2 linked regions of the Astyanax mexicanus genome follow. The protein of the gene in region 2 interacts with the protein of the main gene of each other region in a biochemical or structural test. Links are inferred from orthologs where the notes say so. Each region holds a gene or a part of one and is shown on either strand. Other genes may lie near its edges.

Region 1 (11,031 bases), on a different chromosome or scaffold from region 2:
AACACCAGATCCTGGAGCTGGAGAAAGAGTTTCTCTTTAACACGTACCTCACGCGCGATCGCAGGTACGAGGTGGCGCGCCTCCTTAACCTCACCGAGAGACAGGTCAAAATCTGGTTCCAAAACCGCAGGATGAAGATGAAAAAACTGAACAAAGACGGCACGAAAGACGAGTGAGAGGGAACACTTTGCACCCCCCTAAACATTGGCAATGGGACATTTTCACATTCGGCCCTGTCTCGTTCATTCCATTGTTTTTTTTATTATTGTTGGTTTATTTGTCTGTCTCAAGGCATGCATTCTAGGACCGAATAGTGTTACATATTGGATTATTTGTGTATATCTTAAATGATTCTACCTTAAGTGAATGTTGCACAAATCCAGTCTATTTGTACGAAATAGGAAAACAATATGCTGGCCTTTTTTCCTGTAGACTTTTTTTGTATTATTATTTTATTTTTTGTTTTGTATTAATTTCTATCTTCAACTAATAGACATGAATGAAATGTACGTAACAGTTCCCTTTAGATTGTGTGCCACTGCACATTTAGTGTAGAGTATTCCCCCCTCTTTTCTCTAATTTCTCAAACTTTTCAGTCTGTCAATTGTAAACTTGGTTAATGTAGTGCAAAGTAGTGTTCACACTGAAAAGAGGTTACAAGGTCATGTGTGCTCTAGAAATGTTATAGTATTTTGTTGGTGATTAGCCTACCTTAATTTTTATGACTACCTAGATTGTTTACTATTAAAGTTTTCGAGTTTGGACACTTTCTCAATCCGTGCTGACATGAGCTCTATTAAGAATTGTTGAATTAAGGAATTTTCAGGGAGTGTGGAAGATAGATAGGCCTATTAAAGATAGCTAAAAAAAAAATTAGACACTGTAGTCAACAAAGTAAATACCTCATGGGCTGTCTGTCATGGTCAGTCATATTTGTTCTTTTGTTTACTTTAAATATCTCAAATGTAATTTGTATTTTATTTATTGAAGAATAAAAAAATCATATGTCTAATGGTATGCTAGTGTTTTGTTACTTCTTTTACTACTAACACTGTTATTCATATTATTCTTGGTAATAATAACACCCATTATTATTATTATTATTATTATTATTATTATTATTATTATTATTATTATTATTATTATTATTATTATTATTATTAAGCTCTAAAAACTGGATTTATATCAAGCTATATAGTTAATAGCAACAAAATAGCAACACTGTTTCTCCACCCATAGTAAAATGATAGTGTTTTTATCCTGATTGAAAATAGATTTCAATATGTGCATTTCCATCTTTAAAAAGTCGTAAACGAGGAAATGCATACGCATTGCATGCATATAAATAATATTATATATAGATGTATGCATGCTACCTATAACACACTGCCTATCTGCGGACCTGCGAGCCATTTGAGGCATGTTGGGACTCGGGTGGAACAGCAGGCCCATCCCGCAGTCCACTGTTCTGGCAGAAGAGATTGCTAGCTGTATACTGCCATAAAAGACAATTACCGCTATAACCGTTTATGGGGTGCAAAGCGCTGCGAGGCAAGAGAACGCAACACAAGAGAGATGTTATTAGACCCAACAGCTGAAGGCCAGGGAACATCACTCCATGCGTGCATTCGAGAACTGATTTAACACTATCTATGGCATGGAGCAAAAGCCCGTCATGATTAGGCAGTCCTAGCTCTTCAGTTATTTCCTGTAGGAATTAACCAATACTCAACTCACTGGTTGAATTGGTGTGGTAGAGTAAACCTAGAGGAAACTTACTGAAAGAATATATAAGTATACCGCATACCAGACTGGACTTGACGCACATGAGTCGCAGATGGACGCCGACTTCAAAGGCCTCAAAGACCTCGAAGCCGTGGCCATTAAGCGCAGGGCCTGCAACACTGTCTGGCATTCCGCGTTTAATGGCTTTATGGCTGTCCAGACACAATTAGTTTTCAGAAAGCCCAGCACCCATTTGGACTAGTGCTTTTCCTCTCTCTCCCCCATTCTGCTCTCCGTGAGACTGAAAACAAAAAGCCAGCGGAAATAATCTAGTTTTATTGGCGTCTCTGGCCCAGGCTGGCCCCACTCAGGCACCTTTTGTCTGAATATTGCAGACCTACGCGGTGATAAGAAGGGCGATAATCAAGACCAGTCAGGAGAATTTTTTTTTTATTGTCACGCAATAGAGCAATATGTACTATGAAATGAGCAACAATGCAGAACGCATAACAGCTTACGTAACAGCACTGCTTGTGCAACCACCCAACAAAATTTTCACCTCAGTCCCAGCGGCAATGAAAGAAGCAAAAACGCTGTGTTCATGATGCTGTTACAACTTCTCGCCACTAGGTGTCAGAAAAGATCTACCAAAAGGGTTTAAAGCTTCTCAATACGTCGCTGGTTAGCAGTAATTACATTACACTTTCAAAACGATATTGCTTAAAAAGTTTGTGTTCACGATTGTGAGCCCATAGGCCCACTGGTAAGACGGATTTTGTAAAACGTGCAATTAAAAAAAATCAATAAATAAATAAAGGATGCCACCAAAAGGTTCTTTGTGCGATGGCATAGAAGAGCTGCATTTAGTTCTATAAAGAAATACGTTTGTGTAGTGAACAGTGTAAAGAGCATTTTAAAGTCTTAATCTCGTTTTTGTTATGTAATTTTTATCACAACAGTCAATCTTTTTTTTTTTTAGCATATTTAGGAGTTTTATTTTTAGGAGTGTATTTATACATGTATACATGCAAAGATACCATAGAATTGGCTGCTTGTTCGTTAACATAGTGATAAAGCAGGCACTACAATCTCTTGTGATCATTTAATTTTGATTTTGCTTCGGAATAAAGAGTAACTCACCGTAAAGCATGCTGTTGGCGCCCTGTTCTGCTACTCTCGTTTTTCTTTATAATATATAATGAATGACTGAAATATTTATAGCTTATTTATATTGTGTAATTATATTATGTTGCCATCTTGCTGATTCATCAAACAGACTAAACAGTTACAAGTGGTGTATCTCAATTATGCCTTCGTTATGATATTGGATGCAGTGTTCGACAGGATTAAAACATCGTGTCATCCTGCCGTCCAGGGTGTTGCATTTCCCATTACACATGTGTTTCGGCAGTCAGGCTTTCATGTGATATTGCACGGTTTTAACACGGTTACATTTGCGGTGTAACTCAAGTTGCATTCATTTTAAGGTCAAGCCCTCAAAATGAGTTATGCGGTAGGGCTAGTTTTTCCAATAAAAAAAAGGAAATTTGCTGATTTTTAAATGGCTTCAAATTACACAGTTTGTTACAGCTTTATTATTGTTTTGTTTACGGTAAAATACAGGTGGTACAATTCTGTGGTCTGTTTTTTTTTTTTTTGCCTCGGGCTGTGATTGCTAGCTCTTCCATAAATACAAAATTCCATTATTCTAAAATTCTGTTCGCCGAGTGTAAGAAAATGGGTATATTAACTGTGGACAATGAATGTAAAAAAGGAAAGCAAACAAATCATAAGGAAATCTGTCAAAACGTGGTGGATAGATTTTTTTTGTTTTGTTTTGTCTAAGATTTTAGAAAATATTATTAACATATTAACTATTGCTTCCCGAAAAAATAATTTTACAAACAAATACAGAGAATGAGAATTGTCTCATTTAACCAACATATTGTCATTGTTCTGTATCAGAACATTACGCATCAAATATTCAGATTTATGCAAACGCTTGTGCACCCTCGGGCAAATTGCGCGTTTAGATATTTGAAATAAAAATAAGTACTCATGGACACAAACGTATTTATAAAAATCTGCACGTTTTATACATGATTTCTATTTAGTTTGGAAATTATGACACATGTACATTATAACAAAATGTTAAATTAAGCAATTGTAATTATGCTTTCTAATGTGACGTGTTTACAACAAATGTAATTTGGCCCGGGGTTTAAGATGACTACAAATACAAAACAATTTGCCTGTATTAATATAAAGATGTTTTGACAACTGGTAAATTTACTGCATAAAATATATATAGAGATATATAGATGGATAAGAATTAATGTATTTTTTTTTTTTAAAGGAAACGCTTCTACAGTGTCTAAATGAAGAAACGTGTGAAATGGAGCTTGTCACTAAAAACCTATAAAAACACACGCCGTTTCTGATTGGTTGGTAACTGCATAGGTTCTAACCATGTGATATCCAACGCCCAATGTCTGTAAGTTTCAGGTTGGTGTGAACTCTGGCTGTAATGGCATCATATATCTCCCTACCTCGTAAAAACGACACTGAGGATTCTGGTCCAACAAATCAACTGGAAGCGAAAAATGAATTCATCTTACATTGTGGGTGTTTTTCCCAGTAATGCGCAGTTCCCTTATGCAGTACAAGCAGATGAACATTGCGTTCAGCTTCAGCTACAGTGTAGAAATAAAGAATTACTATCTACATCGTTAATTATCAATACATGGCGCTCATCACAAAAAAACTGGGATTTCTCAGAGACTTCCTATGATGTGGAATATGTGGAACAACAGCCCTGACCAGCATCTGCTCAAAGATGAAGCCTTGGAGCAGATCATCAGGTATGAATTCATTTTTTTTTTACCTTTGATCTGATAGTTGGATGTGCTTGTTTGTATGTAAGCTAAACGGCTAATGTCTTTATTATTGGTTGTTAATGACTGCCTTGTCATTCAACGTTGGCCAATCAGAAAGTAGTATTTAATAAATTAATACATTTTATAACACGCTCGAAGACTCTACAAAGAAAGCATGTTGATATCAAATAATATGCAGTGCAGGGCCTACACCAGCATAACGAACTTCCTAGAAAAATTACATATGATTTACCTTGTGTCCTACATAAATTGATTAAATTAATGTATTTACGCAATGTACTTTGCTTGTATTCTTTAAAATAACTAATTCGTATTTTACATATTATGTCTATGATATTTTTTTTTACTTACAAAGCAAACGTGCCAGTGTTATATTAACACTATGGTTGCTAAATTGATCTGATGAAGTGTTGAGTTACCATTATTCTGTGTAAAAAAAATAGGCCTGTTTAGTTAAGTTAAGTTTAGGCCTAAACTTAAACAAAAATCTTTAAATTAAATTTGACCAGATATATGGTTAATTATTTTATAAACATTTAGCCAAATAATTTTTTAAATTGTTTTAAGAACCCTTTTTAAGTTGTTAATAGTTAGAACAATTTTAATGTACAGTATTGGTGACAGTACCATATCTTTGGAACTTAGTTAACATCAGTCAAATATTATCCAGTAGTAATGATGTGCAATCCTACAAAACCAGTAGGATAAGGTAAATGATTAAGCAAATTAATTAATTTAACAGTAATATTAAAGTGAATCAGTTTATGAGAACCATGACCTGATTCTCATTACATGATGGAAGCAATACATTTGTGTACAGATCCAATGCAGAAATAACGTGAATAAAGTGAGAAATAAATTATTAATGAATTATCTTTGTTGGTGCTGCTTACTGTCTTGTGCACTGTACAAGTAACCATGACCTAAATATACCCAGACTTTGATTTTTTTACTTTAACTTTTTTTAAATCTCTAATTCTAATATATCATGCAGCTTTTCCATTTTTATCTAAAACATGACATTACAAAAAGTCTATCTATACAAGACAGAGAATGTCTTATACTGTATAATTTAGTCCAGCACAACCATATATGTTCAAAAAGCAATAATACCGAGATACTAGTAGAAGTATTGTCAAATTGTCACTATTTTTATTTTGATTGATTTTAATTTATACAGATTGTATGAAGAACATTTTTTGGACCATGCCATTTCAAGAGAATAACTTTCTTACTGTCTATAGTAAAAAGAAGAGTCTTGGTGAGCGCACACATATATGATACAGTAACATAATAAGCAGTCTAGACGTGAACACAGACGCTTATGTACTTGCTGAATAACGTGTCACTGTCACATATTAAATACATGCGAGCTTGTTTAAACCTAGCCATTTCAAAAAGAGAACATCTGTTTCATCAACATATAGAAACACATACACTATGTTCAACAGAAAATATGAAAAAATATATGGTGAGAAAATATGGTGCATCATGTACACTATACCTCTAAGTTTACTATATACGCTTATATATTATGCATATGTACCCATGTTCATGCGTTGTCATATATCTGTAGCGAAGGTAAAGCGTTGATTGGTGAAGCACCTCTGACTGGTAAAGGCTCACTGGTTCCGCGCTTTACGTTAATCAGGGCTGTAAGGATTTGCATAATGGTTTTTGATTCGGTATGCAACACAGCACAGCTTTCTCTGTGCTCCTCCTCTATGTAAAATGGCGCCTTGCAAAAATCCCTCCTTTCTAGCTCCTCCTTCTCCTCCTTTAGCCAGGACGCGACTATAAATCTGTTGTTGTTTATGAAAATTTACTACTCCGCTTCACAACTTTACGAGCCTACACGAGTTCCTATTGGCAAGCGGTGGTCACATGACCTCAAGGTCCCATGCACATGAACTTTTTATGTGCATGCTTCCCTTCCCCAGAATAGGGCTGCATTCTTGTCGCGCGGCTCGCTCCTACGCTCGCGCTTGTTTTCTCCGGCAGCGTTCGCTGTTGATATATTTGTTTGTTTGTGTAGTTTTGTTTCTTACAGCTTTATTTCAACGCCGTGGGTGAGGATCTCTAAGCTAAAGGACGTGTGGGCACCGCTAGGATGCTTTCTTACTGGATGTATGGACTGCACTTTGAGCTGGACAGCTGTCAGATGTTTCCCACGTTCTGGGATCCACGTTCTACTGCTATGACTGGTAGGAGTCTAGAACCTTATGCTAAAACATATGTTAAAAGTTATTTTATTATCATTATTGTTCTCAAAATATGACATTTGTATTGTTGTCAGTGCTCAAAAACGACCGGTTGCTTTCTATTTTTTGGGGGGAAATCAGATGTTTACGCCTAGTAAGATAATTTGCGATTAATCTGCGAATAATAGTCTGGACATCAGTTGTGATTACAAGACATTTCTTTCAGCTTAGACCGACGAAAAAATGCCTGGAAAAAACACAAACTTGGCTGGGGTCCTGATACCAGTGTGAACTGGAGTGGAGGGTTTGATGATTAGTGTTCACGTACTGCTGACAGCAAAGGCGCACTGGCAATCTCATTATAGACGTTTAGGCCTTTGCCAAAATATAGCCCTAACATGTGGTGTTGTCTCGGTCTGTCGCAGAGGCAGATTCTAAACCAACCATCTGGGGGCGCTGTGACATAAAGCACAGATAAGAATTGCATAGGTTCTATGTTTGCAGAGGTTAAAATTAATGATTGTAAACCTGTAAAGTGCATGGCGTTCAAAAGCATGCCCTTTGGAGTGCAACTTCTGTACAAATGTTTTGATCTTGCCTACATGGCGATGAAGGTCTGGAAGGAGTGTGGGGAAAATCTGTTCTGGTTCTATTTTCAGACGCTTGCTTGCTATTTAGACCAGCCTGTTTCCTCTTAAGAGTATGTGACATATAGATCTGTTTTGAATTAGACCGTTAACCTCAGTTACATATTTTTAAAATCACTGTGTCACTATACTAAACGTTTTAATATATTGGCTTGACCAATCTCTTACAATTGTAAAGTAATTTGTACACAATACATTCGCTAGTGTTAAATCAACACTGTTAGTTTTAAATTAACATATAACACTAACAGTGTTGATCTCACACTAGCGAATTTACTCGGTATTAAGCAAATAGTATTAAAACGTTTGCACTATTTGAAGCAAAATGGATAGAATGCATTTTTCAGTACTGTACTACTTTTCCCCGTCATGTGATGTTATGTTGACGTTGACGTTATTCATCTGAAAAGCCCTTTATATTTAAATCATTACAATTCTGATAACCATACATCTTGCAACCAAACATACCTTGCAACGAGTAGCTGTATCGAGGGTTTTAATACTCAAATCTGAAAAATAAAAAACATTTTAAAATATTTAATTGTGCTGCTGATCCATATGCCCTGCTCTCATGGTCAAATTCAGTTTAAATAATTCCTAATGTTGTATCAAATAGTTTTAATTCCGTATCCTTTGTCGTTTAATTTTTAGGTCAAAAAACTGTCTGGTGACAGCTTACCAATGCGTATGCAAAAATCATAATTCATTTTTATTTAGCGAGGTTTCTAACTTACAAAATTCTTTTCGATTCCTTCACTGAGGATGTATCACTGCTTTTATTCGATACGCAGCAAAATCTCTGTCGTAGTGCACTCGCAGCTTTTTACTGCGCACAAGCGAGGTTTTATGCATGGTTTTATTTTACGACAACGTCACAGGCCAGTTATAAGCATCAACGCTTTTATCGCCCATGTGTGATGTCTCAGTCTGACTGTATTCCTCGTGTTATATCTGCTGTCGTTTAGTTATTGGTTAGACGTTTCTGGCTACGATAGAGATGAGCTTAACAATGAGTATTACTCCAATTCCAATTTCTCCGTTGCGGTGTTGAATCTGTGTCTTTTGTGTGGTAGTAGGTAGATTTTGTAGAGCTTAAAAATATTTGCAATTTTAGCATTTGAGTTTCAAGTAAAAAAAATAAATGCTAAAGGCTAAAAAAAGAATTTTCTCACACACACACACACACACACACACCTCATTTACATGCACTCTTTAACAAGAGGTTTATTTAACTGATCGACTTGCTATACGTGATCTACTGCTTTCTTATCGCATCATAAGGTTTAATTTAAAGATTTGAGCTGATTTCTTTATTTTTTAACTTGCATTTTTAAACATGGGGTTAGTTTAGTAATGCAATTAAAAAAGTAGCATGTTGTAAAACTGATGTGTGAAGAATATTTAAAAGATTTAGGGAAATATTGATCTTTCGGGAGACTTCATTTTGTTGCATCTGCATCTCTGCACTTTACTCCAGATTTTATTTCTCTCAAATTTAAAGGAGGATTTGAGCACTGTGTAGATATGTGTTTTTTGGAAGGTATGGCTTTTAACAATGAGTTCAAAATAATGAACAGTTTTTATTATTTTTTATTGTTTGTGGATTTTTTCTTTGCTTCAGAGAGGCTGCTTTTAAAATACGCTTTCATTTTCTTTTAATATCTGATATTGCTATTTCACTGGATCGCTTGCTTTTTGTTTATTCTGTTTGATTGCATTGTACCCAACGAAATGTTTCGGAGCGTTTTCCAGCGAGGTCACGGTATTGTGTTTTGTTTCAGCAGTGATAATTTTTCCACTGCAAAGTCGTTAACCTCTGCATGACCCTGTCCCAGCCTGTAGCCTCGAGTAGGGCAGTGAGGGGGGAATTCTTCGGTTATACCAAAGGGTGGCGCAACACTACAGTTCTAAACAGCACCGCTAGAGCCTTCAAACAATTCCACCCAGATTTCCTGCTCGCGCGTGAGTTTACCGCTGGAGGTCATCACACAGGATTTACGACTGGTCAACAAAAAACACGTGACTTCAACCCATACCCCATATTTGGGCGCCTACGTAAGAGAGCATGAAGTCTGTGTCTCAGTCATTTCCATAATTCATCATAAATTGTGCAAGGGTGCAATAGACGCGCAAAAGCATCAAGAGACACAAATCAAGCACGCGCGGCATTGTTGTTCTCTCCACGGTGGTAATAATAACAATAATACCGGCAGAGCAATTATCAGGTAATCGCTGTCAACCAACCAATGAGCTCTTATTTTGTAAACTCATTCTGCGGTCGCTATCCAAATGGCGCGGACTATCCGTTACATAACTATGGGGATCACGGTTCAGGCGACCAATACCGAGACTCTACGGGCATGCATTCCAGCAGGTATGGCTACGGGACAGCGGGATACAACGGCATGGACCTCAGTACCGGTCGCTCCACGACCGGCCACTTCGTCCCTTCCGGAGAACAGGCTCAAAGCTACAGCCAGAGTCCAACGGCGACGCCTGTTGACGCCCGGTACAGTCAGCCGATCACCGCGAGTAACGCTACTCCCCAGTCACCTCCTTCCGACTCGCTGCCGTGCTCTTCCGTCGACAGTTCTCCGGTTAGCGAACCAGCTCACCGCGCCCTGAAAAGCTCCATAACAAATTCTACTGTCTCCACGGGCAACCCCGGGCTGGGGTGCAAGGACGTCCCCAAAACGTGCAACAGCGTGGAGGAAGAGAAGCCCACGGGAAGTGCGCAGACGACTTCACAGAGTGTGTCCGAGACGTCCCAGCCTCAGATCTACCCCTGGATGCGAAAACTTCATCTGAGTCATGGTAAAAAAAACTAAGATATGTAAAGAAAAATGCATATGTGGTAACATAAATGCCAGACAAATGTAATATATCTTAATTTAAGCAGTTTTCCTGTACATTGCCTCAGAATGGCATGATAAATAGGCCAAGGAAATACTCCAAAATTACTTTAAATAAAATCTTTTTATAGCGACTTCCACTGGAAGTTAAGAAGGTTAAAGAGGGGGTTTCCCTTCTCCTGTAAAGTATTCCTTTATTTTAGAGATACAAGTTGCTGCGTGACAGTGGCGATTTAGCACTGTAGTTTGTTTCCTGTTTTTACATTAAAACATCTGAAATGTTGGGCCATATAAACTTTACATAGGTCAGATTGAACGCAGAATATGTACTAAAGCGATTACTATACGTGCATCTGATTAAGATAGGTTTGTCTTGTCCAATCTTTCAGAAATCTTAATAAATGAAGGATTGAACGTATATTTCAGAATAAATGTACATGTACAGTGTATATGTGAAATCTATATGTACATGGCATGCACGATATAAAAATCATGTTAAAGCATAAAATGTATAGAGGTTTATATGAATTGTATGTTTAATTTAGAATGTGGCCTACACGCTCAGTATGTTTAAAAATGAGAGTATATATAATTTATATAAAGGAATTCGGCATGTTCAATTTTGTCGTATATTTAACATCAAGATAATGCCAAATATCAGATTTCCGTGGTAAAATGTTTGGTTAAGTTGATGTTTTGTGACTTTGTG
Region 2 (10,515 bases):
GCGAGAATGTCCAAGATTTATTTGAGTGGCACTTTGAGCAGAATAATACAACTCAGCATGACTGGTAAAGTAAACCTGCTTTCTCTGAGTCCTTGTCTGTCTTTAAAAACATTAAGAAAACTGCCATTTCTACACCGCTGACCTGTGGGAAATCAGTTGAGGGTAGCGTTTGGCTCGGTGAAGCACCTTCCTGAATTTTTCCGCAGTATAAAGGCCGTCATCAATCAGCAGCAATCAGAAACAAGTCGCTGCTGCTCCCGCTGCTTCTGTTATTGCCAAAGTTCGCAGCTCCAGAGTTTTCCAGACACAGTGTTGCTAAAACCGGCGCGAGCTCCGTGCGAAACCCATCCCGAACTTCTAAAAAACCTGCACACGCCGTCTGCAAAAGCGCACGTGTATGAAAGAGTGTGAATGAAAGGCAGAAATAGTTCCTACCTGTGCTGAGTGAGCGCCCTGCAGCTGGAGACACCCGCCTGCCTTCTGCAGAGTGCTTAGAGGCATCGCGGCATTTATTTGAGCTCCAACTCTGTCACTGTTGACTTTAGCACAAAGCAAAGATTTCGCTTCCCCGCTAGTTTAAAAAAATGATTATTTTACAGAGATATCGATCAGTGCTCTATAAAAAATCAGCCTAGCATTATGTCTAAAATGAGGGGGACCGAAATTTAATGTCTGTGTAAATTTACCTAGAAGTGACGTGCTCACATACAGAGTTTACATTCTCGATATTTGGTCGTCCATGTACACATCCCATATATGTATTAATACCATATTTTCATTGTTTACCAGCTTTTGTTTATTCGCAGATTGGGGGGATTTGAAACAGGGCTGCAGGGCTCTAAAATAAAGGGAGCAGGAACGGCCTCTGTCCACACTTCAACCTGGACAGAGTGGGATTCCTCCCTGATCTACAGTTTGTGTGCTAGGTTCTGTGCATGATCTACTTTAGAGGAAGGGTCATTAGATTATACTACAATGTTCACATGTGGAGGGTCTGCCAGCTAACCTGTGCTTTAGGCACTTTTAAAAGCCCAAAAACATTTACTTGACCAAAAATATAATATGTTGTAAAATTGCCAGATTAGATGCATGCTGAGATAGTTATTTACCCCGCCAGAAATTCACTTTTTATACAGTATCATCCTGTATATTTACTAAAGTTGAATGCCTTTGCAAAGGTTCACACAAGAAATGACACAGATGTGAGAGGGGATTTAAGAGGTACAGAATCGATGTTGACCCTGTTTAAATGGTTACTATATAGAGTGCACAATAATAACAGAGTCTACAATAATAATAATAATAATAATAATAATAATAAAAAATAATAATAACAATAATAATAATAATTATTATTATTATTGTTATTATTATTATTATTATTATTATTATTATTATTATTATTATTATCCTCATCATCTTAGTTTTTGAATCTTGTTTTTGTTGGTTTTGGTGTCTTAAATTGTAAATGACTAAATGATAGTGTATGTCTTAATGATAAATAATAATTAATAATAATAATAATAATAGTGGACATCTAGAATAACATATACGGTGCGTGTATAATAAGAAATTTGTATGTGTCTATAAAAATATATTTTCAATACTTATAGGAAGGGGTATTGAAAAATAGATATGGTGTGCAGCTGGATTCAGGGTTTATTTTTTTTATTTAGTTTTTTTTTTACCTTTTTTTTTACAAAACAGGAAGGCTTGGTCGTGAGATTTTATTAAAATCCATTTGCCTGCTTGAAAGATTCACCTCTTTAAACACCCGTTTTGAATCTTAATTTTGAGTGCAGCTTTTGAATACTAATTTTATGCTAGATCCCACTGAAAGCTCTTGAGATACGCGGCTCTGTTTACTGAGGAAGAGGTTCTGGAAAGGAAGAAATCCCAGCAGAGAGGTTTTGCACGCTTATGATCATCTGCGTGTTTGGGTAAAAACAACAGAAACCCATCTTGGTTCTTATATTTCTGTTATACATATTATTATAGTTTTCTAAATTCTCTGAACGATTAAAAAAAACTTTTTTTTTTATTTATTTATTTTTTTTTATTAGTGTTGGAATTAAATACCCATTAAATCCGAGTGAAATATTTTGATAAAAAGACAAATTCACCGTCATCAGTAAAAATTCAAATAACACTTTAATATAGATTCTGTTCTTGTCAACTACAAGAATACACATTTACAAGCCATAAATAAGGTTTGGGATTATTTTTGTTGTTGTTTTTTTATTCACAACATGGACTGTTCTTTGTCCCTTTTGTTGGTGCAAGACTTTCAGTTGTCAGGCGCGATTTTTTGGTCCATTTTGCCTTGAGTTCATGACATTCGTTTCTTCACAATGTTTGTTTTTATTATTTGTTTTTATTATTGTTCCCTTTTTTTTTTTTTACAAAATATTTACTAATAAACTCGACCACTAAATTAACGAGAATAAACGGTAGCAAGAAAAATGTCCAGAGAATACATAATGCACAAAATGCATTTTCTTTACAAATGTACAAAGTTCCTTTTAAGGGTCCGTAAGGCTGTGCGAGAACAGCCTTTAGGATGAGTTCATGATGGGCCTGGAGTACATGCCTTGGTAATAGGACGTGTCTGCAGCCAGCGGCGACGAGTCGAAGCTGGCTTTACTGGCCACAGATCCCATGGAAAGGGCTGCGCCGGCCATGGGAGAGCCGTAGCCGTAGTGCATGACCTGCTCGTAGGCTTTCAAGTCCATTTTATGGTGCGGGTGGTGCTGCTGCTCGGAGGACATGAGGTTGTTTATGGAGAACGGGTGGTTGAACGAGTAGTGGTGCTCAGGTTTAAGGTGGGCGTCGTGCGCAAGGACCGCGTGATGCTGGACTAGGAGTTGCTGCTGCTGTTGCTGTTGCTGCTGCTGGTGTTGGGTGGTCGGCGAATCCGCTGGGTCTGGACTCACACCACGGGCGGACTTCATATCTCCCAGCGCGCGCTTGTGGTCATGGACAGGGGAGTGTGAAGGTGGCGTCTCGTTGCCGTTGCAGCTCTCTGGGCTTCCGTGTGAGCCTCCGTCCCCAGCTTTCCGCCCACCGCCCTCTTTGCCCATCATCTTTTCGCACTTGAAGCGCTTCTGTCTGCGCAGGTAGCAGCCGTTCTCAAACATGTTTCCAGAGTCCGGGTGCAGCGTCCAGAAGGAGCCCTTTCCCGGCTTATCCGGTGATCGCGGTACTTTGACGAAGCAGTCATTGAAGGAGAGTGAGTGGCGAATAGAGTTCTGCCAGCGCTGCTGGTTCTGCCGGTAGAAAGGGAAGAGGTCCATGATCCACTGGTAGATCTCACTCAGCGTCAGCATTTTGCTGGGTGACTGCTGGATGGCCATGGTAATGAGTGAGATATACGAGTAGGGCGGTTTGGCGTGCGTATAGCTCCGGCGGTACGTTTTGGGGTCGCGTGCCCTGTTCATGTTTGACTGGCCATACATAGGGCTCATGGGGTTGACGTTGGGGTAGGCACCGAGCGCGTTCATGGCGGGCGCCTGCGCCGTCATGGGGCTCATGCTGGGGCTCAGGGCCGCGCTCATCCCCGTCATGCTCGCACCCATCCCGGCCATCGCCCCGGCGCCCGGAGACATGCCCGTCATGGACGGACTCATGCCCGTGTTCACGTACGACATGTTCATGGTGTTAGCGGTCATGTTAGCCGTCGTGCTCATTCCTGACATCGTCATGTAAGTGTTCATGGAGTTCATTCCAAGGCCAGTGTTCATGTTGCCAACAGAGGTGTAACACTGAAAAGCATAAAAACAGAGAGAAATGTCATTAATGCTGTTAGAAGGAAAAACAACGTTTCTTTACATCTCTATTTCTTTAAATATTTTAACTTATTCTAAAAGCGCGTCAGCATTTCAGTTTTTTGTCAGATGTCCTACTTCTTCCAAACGCATAAAAATACCAAAAAGAGACAAGCAGGTCTTGTAGACGAATGATGAAATCGCATTTAAGTTTAAAAATTAGCCATTAAACGAAGCAAACGAATCGAAACCAATGTTCCTTAAGTAAAAAAAAAGGTGAAAATTAAATATAAGCTTATAAACGAGTGCACAGTGCTATTGGCATATACCCTTCTTTATACATAAGGGCCTGGAATTGCAAGGGAAGTTTGCATTACATGTCAGACACCAACTTTTGTTAGGATAGTGCAGGGCTTCGAGACAGGGGAGGATTTGGAGGCGCCTCAAGTCAATATTTGATCTCAAAGTTAATATTATCTCAGGGCTAATATTGAGTTATATAAAACGGAATAGGCTTTTTTGACTAGAAGAGAAAAGAAAATATTTATATATATATGTACACAGGCTATATTTAGGCAATACCAACCTCAGGTTCTCCGTAGTAGGTGCTCCAGTCTGCGTGTTCGTGTCCTTCCATTTTGACAGCACCAAGCATCCTGGAAGTTTCGTCCACTTTCTCAAAAAACGCTTTCCCACACACGAGCGTCCTCTGGCAGGCTGTGGCTGTTTGGAACCACGGGCTACTCGTGTCGCCGTGCTCTGCTGCCGTCAGGGGCTGGCGCATGTGTGTGTGTTTGTGTGTGTGTGTATCTGTGTGTGTGGGAGGTAGCCGTGGCCGCTGATGACTGGAGCTCAGTGACGCCCGCTTGCGCCTCTTAACGCTGTGATATAAACTGTGAGCGCCGGGCGAGCCTCCAATCCCTTCAGCACTCGGCCCTATTTGAATAATCTGCTCACACCTAGGCGCGAGACTTTCTCCGTTTGCCCCCCTGTCGAGCACCTGCGCCGCTCCAAAAAAAGAGCAGCCTTCATGTGAAAAGATTCATTATGACCTAATCTTATTGTATTCCAACAGGAGAGAGCGGGAAGGGAGGGGTGTTGAGGGATTTGGGGAATGGAAGGGGGGGCTTTATCATGCACAGTCTGGATGATGGAGAATTTTTGTAATGTATAGAAGGAAGTCTGCATCTGTTTATTGCGTTTTTTACGTTAACTTTCGTTCGTTTTAACTAGCTCAACAAACTAAGCATTATAGCACGATCCCCCTCATATCACTTTATAATTGTAACACTTTCAGCAATAAAGTCAGCAACACTGGGTTCTCTTGAACGATACCACAACAGAATCACTTTTAAATACCCCTCAAATACATACACTTTAGCTTTATTCCTTAAAGAAACATATGCAAGCAGATTTGTACATGTGTGGATCGTTTAAAAGGTTTAGAAAACCTTTAGATCGTTAGATGTCCGTTTTTTTACATTTACTTTTTTTACTTTTTAAGAGTGTGCATTATGAAAAAAAATATTACCCAAAATTTATTTATTTTATAAACTTTAAAAAAAACAAAAACAATGCAGCCTATAAGAGGTTGGCATCACCGTGAAGAACCAATTAATGATACCAAGAAATTTTACTGTTCCGTTTGTTAGACTGTCATTGTTCCTCACAGAGCCATTTGATTTGTTTAATAACCTTTATAGAGGCTTGTTTTAATGGTGCATATAACATACAATCCTATTCTAAATATGAATTATATATTTCAATTTTTACATCGTAAAACGAAAAATCCGACGCAGGATTATATTAACCTTAACACGTGATGTATTGATTTATTGATAATGGACTACAAAAGCTACAGCGCAAGTGAAGAGTCAGAAACAGAGCTATGTGCTAAGGTGTGTTTGAGGTGGCTGCTTTGGCTTGTCTTCCGAGTTTGTTTACGTGTGTGTTAATATATGTAACTAATAGCAGGACGTAGTTTGCTAATATAACAGCTTCACTCTTCGCCGGCAGGTCATCCGTGTTGATTTTGCAGAGCTCAGTGGCCAGATTTGATTGCCTTCACTAAACAAAGTGGCCTAACATTTATCCAATGTGTTTGACTATCCACGAAATAGGGGGACCACGCGGGCGAATGCTGATGGGTTTACGCAGGAGAACGTGTGAAGACCCTTGACTTTAACTAATTTGATGTCACTTTACTTATTCGTAGGTCAGTCAAATCTGTTAAGGTCAGTTTTGCACAATGTGCACTATATATAATTGTACAAAAAATGATGGTATTTTACTTTTTTTGTTCTTGAATATCATTATTAATTATCACGAAGGCATGTCATACAAGCCACTGTTACTTTGCTGTTGTAAGCGCTGTTGAGAGCACCCCCTCTTGGTGGGAGAGCTAAGCCACACAGTGGGATACATTTATGTTTTGACAAATATAGGCTAATAGTTTTATTCATGTTGTCGCTCCATATTATCCACAGCCGTTTCTGCATAAGTTTGTGTATTTTGAGGTCTTCTAGACCAGAGTTTACGCACGTCTTACATTTGATTTATTCATTAATGCGCGCTCCGAAAAGCGCGCATTAATACCTAGGTGTTTGGCACGTGCCTGTCCAGCGGTGTTATCGTGTGCTATCTGTTTGATTACGTATTTGCGCAGCACAGGCACACAAATGTCAATATAATCTCGGAGTTTATTTGGACCTGTGTGTAATGTGTAAACGGGGCTGAGGGCGCGCGCTGCGCTGGACACTCGCGCATGCGGAGCTGCCTGACATCGCGTGATGCGCTCAGGGCACCGGTCTGATTCAACACTTCTGCACCGCTAATTCGCGCTCATGTGCATGCCGTTGGATTTAGTGTAGTAAATCTCGCCAGCTGCACGTGCAGCGTAATAGCACGTATATTTACCCAGCCGGCATTTCACAGTTTATTCACGGTTGAATCAACGTCATATTGAGGTTAAATCAACGTTGAATTAGTTTTTTATTTTGAAAAGACTGATAAGTTTTCTTTTTATTCAACATTGCACACTCGAAGAAGTATGTTTTTAGTAAATATATATAAGTACAAAAATATGAAATAAAACCCCTAAATCATTTACATGCTTAAAAATGTCTTTAGTTTGAGGCAGAACTAAGACAACTTTGTCTGTTAACTTTGTCTCTTACTTTCTAATTTGCTGATTTCTTTTTTTAATGCATGCATTTAGATATTTTAAATTCCCTTTTGATGAAAATATAAGTAACTAACTGTAACCTGTATAAGGAGTGAGTTTTTATTTTGTGAGGGATGTTGAACACTGGCCAGCATAGTCATGCCAAGGCGAGCTACATTTTTGGAGTTTGAGCAAAGCATTTTATTGTGCGCCAGACCGATGTGAAATTTGTGAGGGCATTTAACATTTTTTAATCTGCAGTGTCTCGTGTGTACTGCGAATACATAACAGAAGGCATTAACACCCACAGGGGACAGTGCAGTGGGTGGTAATGATTGTGGTTGACTACATTTGGCTAGCATTGTCCATGTCAGCAGACAAAAGACTTTGTCAGAAATCAAATAAACGTTCAAAGGAGGCCCCACACACATGTGCTGTAGGTCAATGCAGCAACCTAGGTTTTGTGGGAAATGGCAAAAGTCATGGCACTTTTTTTTTCTTGTTTTTTTTTCAACTGGTTCCTGTCCCATGACGTGGTATGTCAGTGTATAGGAGTATTTGTACACTGCTGTCTTTGCACTATGTATGTTTGCAGTTATGTTGTTCTTGTTGGCTTGGATTGATGAAGTTCAAAGGATCAATCCGGCTGAGATATAAATGAAACAGTGGGAAGATTCTCAAATTTTACCTACTAAAAGCAAGTTTACATATGTAGATTTTAGGTCTAGCCTGTAAAATGGCCAGATGTTTTGGTCCAAAGGAAGATGCTTTGTCAGTCATAAAGGAGATAAGTGATGGAGATTGATGGAGTGTGGTGTATAGCTGATATTGAGAAGCACTAACATAAGATCTCTAAGAACAAAGGAAGCAGAGTCAGTTTATTCTTTGGATTGTAGTTTTGGCACCTTAAATAGTTATATATTGACCTTATATATTGAGTTATATATTTATATGTTTTTTTTTTATATGTTATGTTTTTTTTGACCAGACACACCATTTTCACATCCTTAAAATGTCAGTGATACATAGTGATACACCCAGCTGTCAACATGGATACCATAGCAACTATTTGACAGCATCTGGGTAACCACCTGATACAATAGCAGCTGACAAGCGACCACATGGGTACCACAGCAACCACTAAGCAATGTCATAAATCACCTGAATTACCATAGTTATCACCCTTCAGAAAAATACCGTAATACTCATCTAGCAAGCACCTAGTAACTTAGTAACACCATAGCAGCCACCCATTAACCAGTTAACAACACATATAGTGGCAACTGATAACACCATAAGAACCAATAGCAACCTTACCACCACCGCACCACGGCAGCAACTTAGCAACCAACTAGCAGCCACTTTGCAATCACCTGCAACACCAGAGCAACGCCCTACATCTATTGAGCTGCAGCATATCAGCCACCTGGGATAGAACAAAGACTCTTAACAACCACCTCAGCAATCAGGTTGCAACACTATGACAACAACCTGGAATACCATGGCAACCACATCAGCAGCCTAGCAACTGTTTGGAAGGGAAGTCCACTTAAGCTGCTAACTATTGTGTTACCTTCTAACTATTAATATCAAATCAAATCAAATTTATTTGTATAGTGCTTTTTACAACTTGTCACCAAGCAGCTTTACAGAAACATGATATATAATAGAAGGTCTATTATAGTTGTGTATCTTAATTGTGTGGGTGCCCTTTTTATTTTGCTGCTATTACTTTTTGCAGTTGTTTTTTTCTTTCTGGGTAGTAAAAGGTTCTCTCCGTTTCTTTCTCTCTTTTTCTTTCTTTTTTTTCTTTTTGCCATTGTGTCAGTTTTATTTGAGGTAAACTTTTTTTCTTATGGGTTGCTTATATAATACATGAATGTAAGGGAAAATTAACTTTCTTGTAATGTCTGAAATGATGCTTACATTTTAATAAAAAATATATTATAAAATATGTTGACATTTTAGAAGAAAAGTTAAATACCATAAAGTATTTGTGAAGGCCTGAGAGGAACTGTAGGATTCCAAAACTTACACTTTGCTTTAAGTGCCTGTACAGGTTGTCATTATTCTGAATGGAGACTTTTAAATGATTATCATGTATGTTGATTAATTTAATGAGTGCTCATGATTAATCCACTAGAACTCAGGTAATTCACTTAAGTACAAAGACTACTCGTACACTTGACTGTTTTCAAGTGGGCAGGTGTGTAGCACGGCGTTCTTTTGGAATATTTTGTTTAAAGTTAATCATTTATGACTGTGATACAGACTGTGAGCGTGCTCAGTAGCGAAGGTCACTTTTTTTGTATTTGGTAAAAACGCGAAGGACCCTGTCTTTAAACAAACAGAACAGGGAGTATTGGCCTATACTTTGTGCCTGATTTACTCTGAACCTGAGGTAGCATATGGCAGGTGCTTTGTGCATAAATGAGAGCCCACAGTTAGTAGAGGTTTTATTAAACACTTAAGGCATAGGATAATTGGCCAAGTATTTATACAATACATGATATTTAACATTTAGTTTTGCTTAGTTTAAAGAGACAAAAAAGCTCCAGCAGTGCCAAGAAGTGCAGCTGATTTGTTTTCAAAGTTTCATATTGTTGAATATATTATATAAATTCTCCTATTTGTTGGTCACGTCCGTCACTGATGATCCATCATGCACCTTTGAAGGCTTTTTGTGTGTTGCAATGCATCATCACTGTGGGTGGCGCCTAGGTGATCCTACTCAAACTCATACATTAGGGCCTGTATTCTAAGCAAATATTGTCTTGGGATCTCTAAACACTGACCTGCATTCTCTCTTTTGTAGACAGGAATTCACCTTTGAGATCGCTAAGAGGTCAGGCTATTTTTAAGCTTCTAAAATTTTTCGGCATCTTCTCATGGGAGGTCTAAAAAGAGGTTCCCTTTGTTGCAACTGTAGGACACTTACATTTTGTGAACATAGCTGCAATGTAATGTGCAACAAACTGGTTCCAACTCCTTGGCATGTCCTGCTAAATCGCATTTTATTTTTTGTTTATATTTTCTATTATGCATGGGTCCATCCAGTCATGGCCAGCTGGACAAAGGTGAACAAGTTTTGTCAAAATTGGTATTTAATGAAAAACAAACGCAACTCTAGGTGTTTGACCTAGAGTTGCAAACGTGTAAATTGTTCATGGGGACCTAGTTCTGTTGCAAAAATAATATTTTTTTAATCACCTTGATATTCACCACAATAGTAAACAGTTTAGCTTTACTTTACCTAAGTATGGAGACAACATGATAAATATTAGTTGAAATACTACTAACTGCTAAACATGACGTTTCAGTCCTTTGAACAGAAAACAGTAAAAGGTATGGGTGTCTGAATGTCAAATTATTAAAATATTGAAAACATCTGCATTTTTTAATTTTTATTTAACCACTTATAAATAAATATGAATATTGATATTAGATCCTTATTTCGGTTTGGTAGTTCAGACTGCAAATCACAGTGGCTTTAGATCTCTTGACAGATGTCTTAAAATGTTACTACCAAATTACTTAAGCAATTGATGAAGCTAAGGAATGTATCTTGTTTCTCAGTGTTATAAGGTG

The links. The genes of interacting proteins can lie anywhere in the genome.
Region 1: the proteins of foxa2 (region 2) and hoxa5a form a complex in vitro, tested with the Homo sapiens proteins (2 studies listed by BioGRID). The link is inferred for Astyanax mexicanus from reciprocal best matches to the Homo sapiens genes FOXA2 and HOXA5.

What each region holds. Positions count from the first base shown.
Region 1 is NC_064410.1:62,556,504-62,567,534, reverse strand, and holds the start of hoxa5a (homeobox protein Hox-A5a), read left to right. Parts: upstream 1-6,837; 5' UTR 6,838-9,716; coding exon 9,717-10,284; intron 10,285-11,031. Other genes in the region: hoxa9a (homeobox protein Hox-A9a), read left to right, coding at 1-176. UniProt on the Homo sapiens protein: Sequence-specific transcription factor which is part of a developmental regulatory system that provides cells with specific positional identities on the anterior-posterior axis. Also binds to its own promoter.
Region 2 is NC_064421.1:21,261,607-21,272,121, forward strand, and holds foxa2 (forkhead box protein A2), read right to left. Parts: upstream 4,754-10,515; 5' UTR 4,549-4,753; coding exon 4,351-4,548; intron 3,762-4,350; coding exon 2,556-3,761; 3' UTR 2,133-2,555; downstream 1-2,132. UniProt on the Homo sapiens protein: Transcription factor that is involved in embryonic development, establishment of tissue-specific gene expression and regulation of gene expression in differentiated tissues.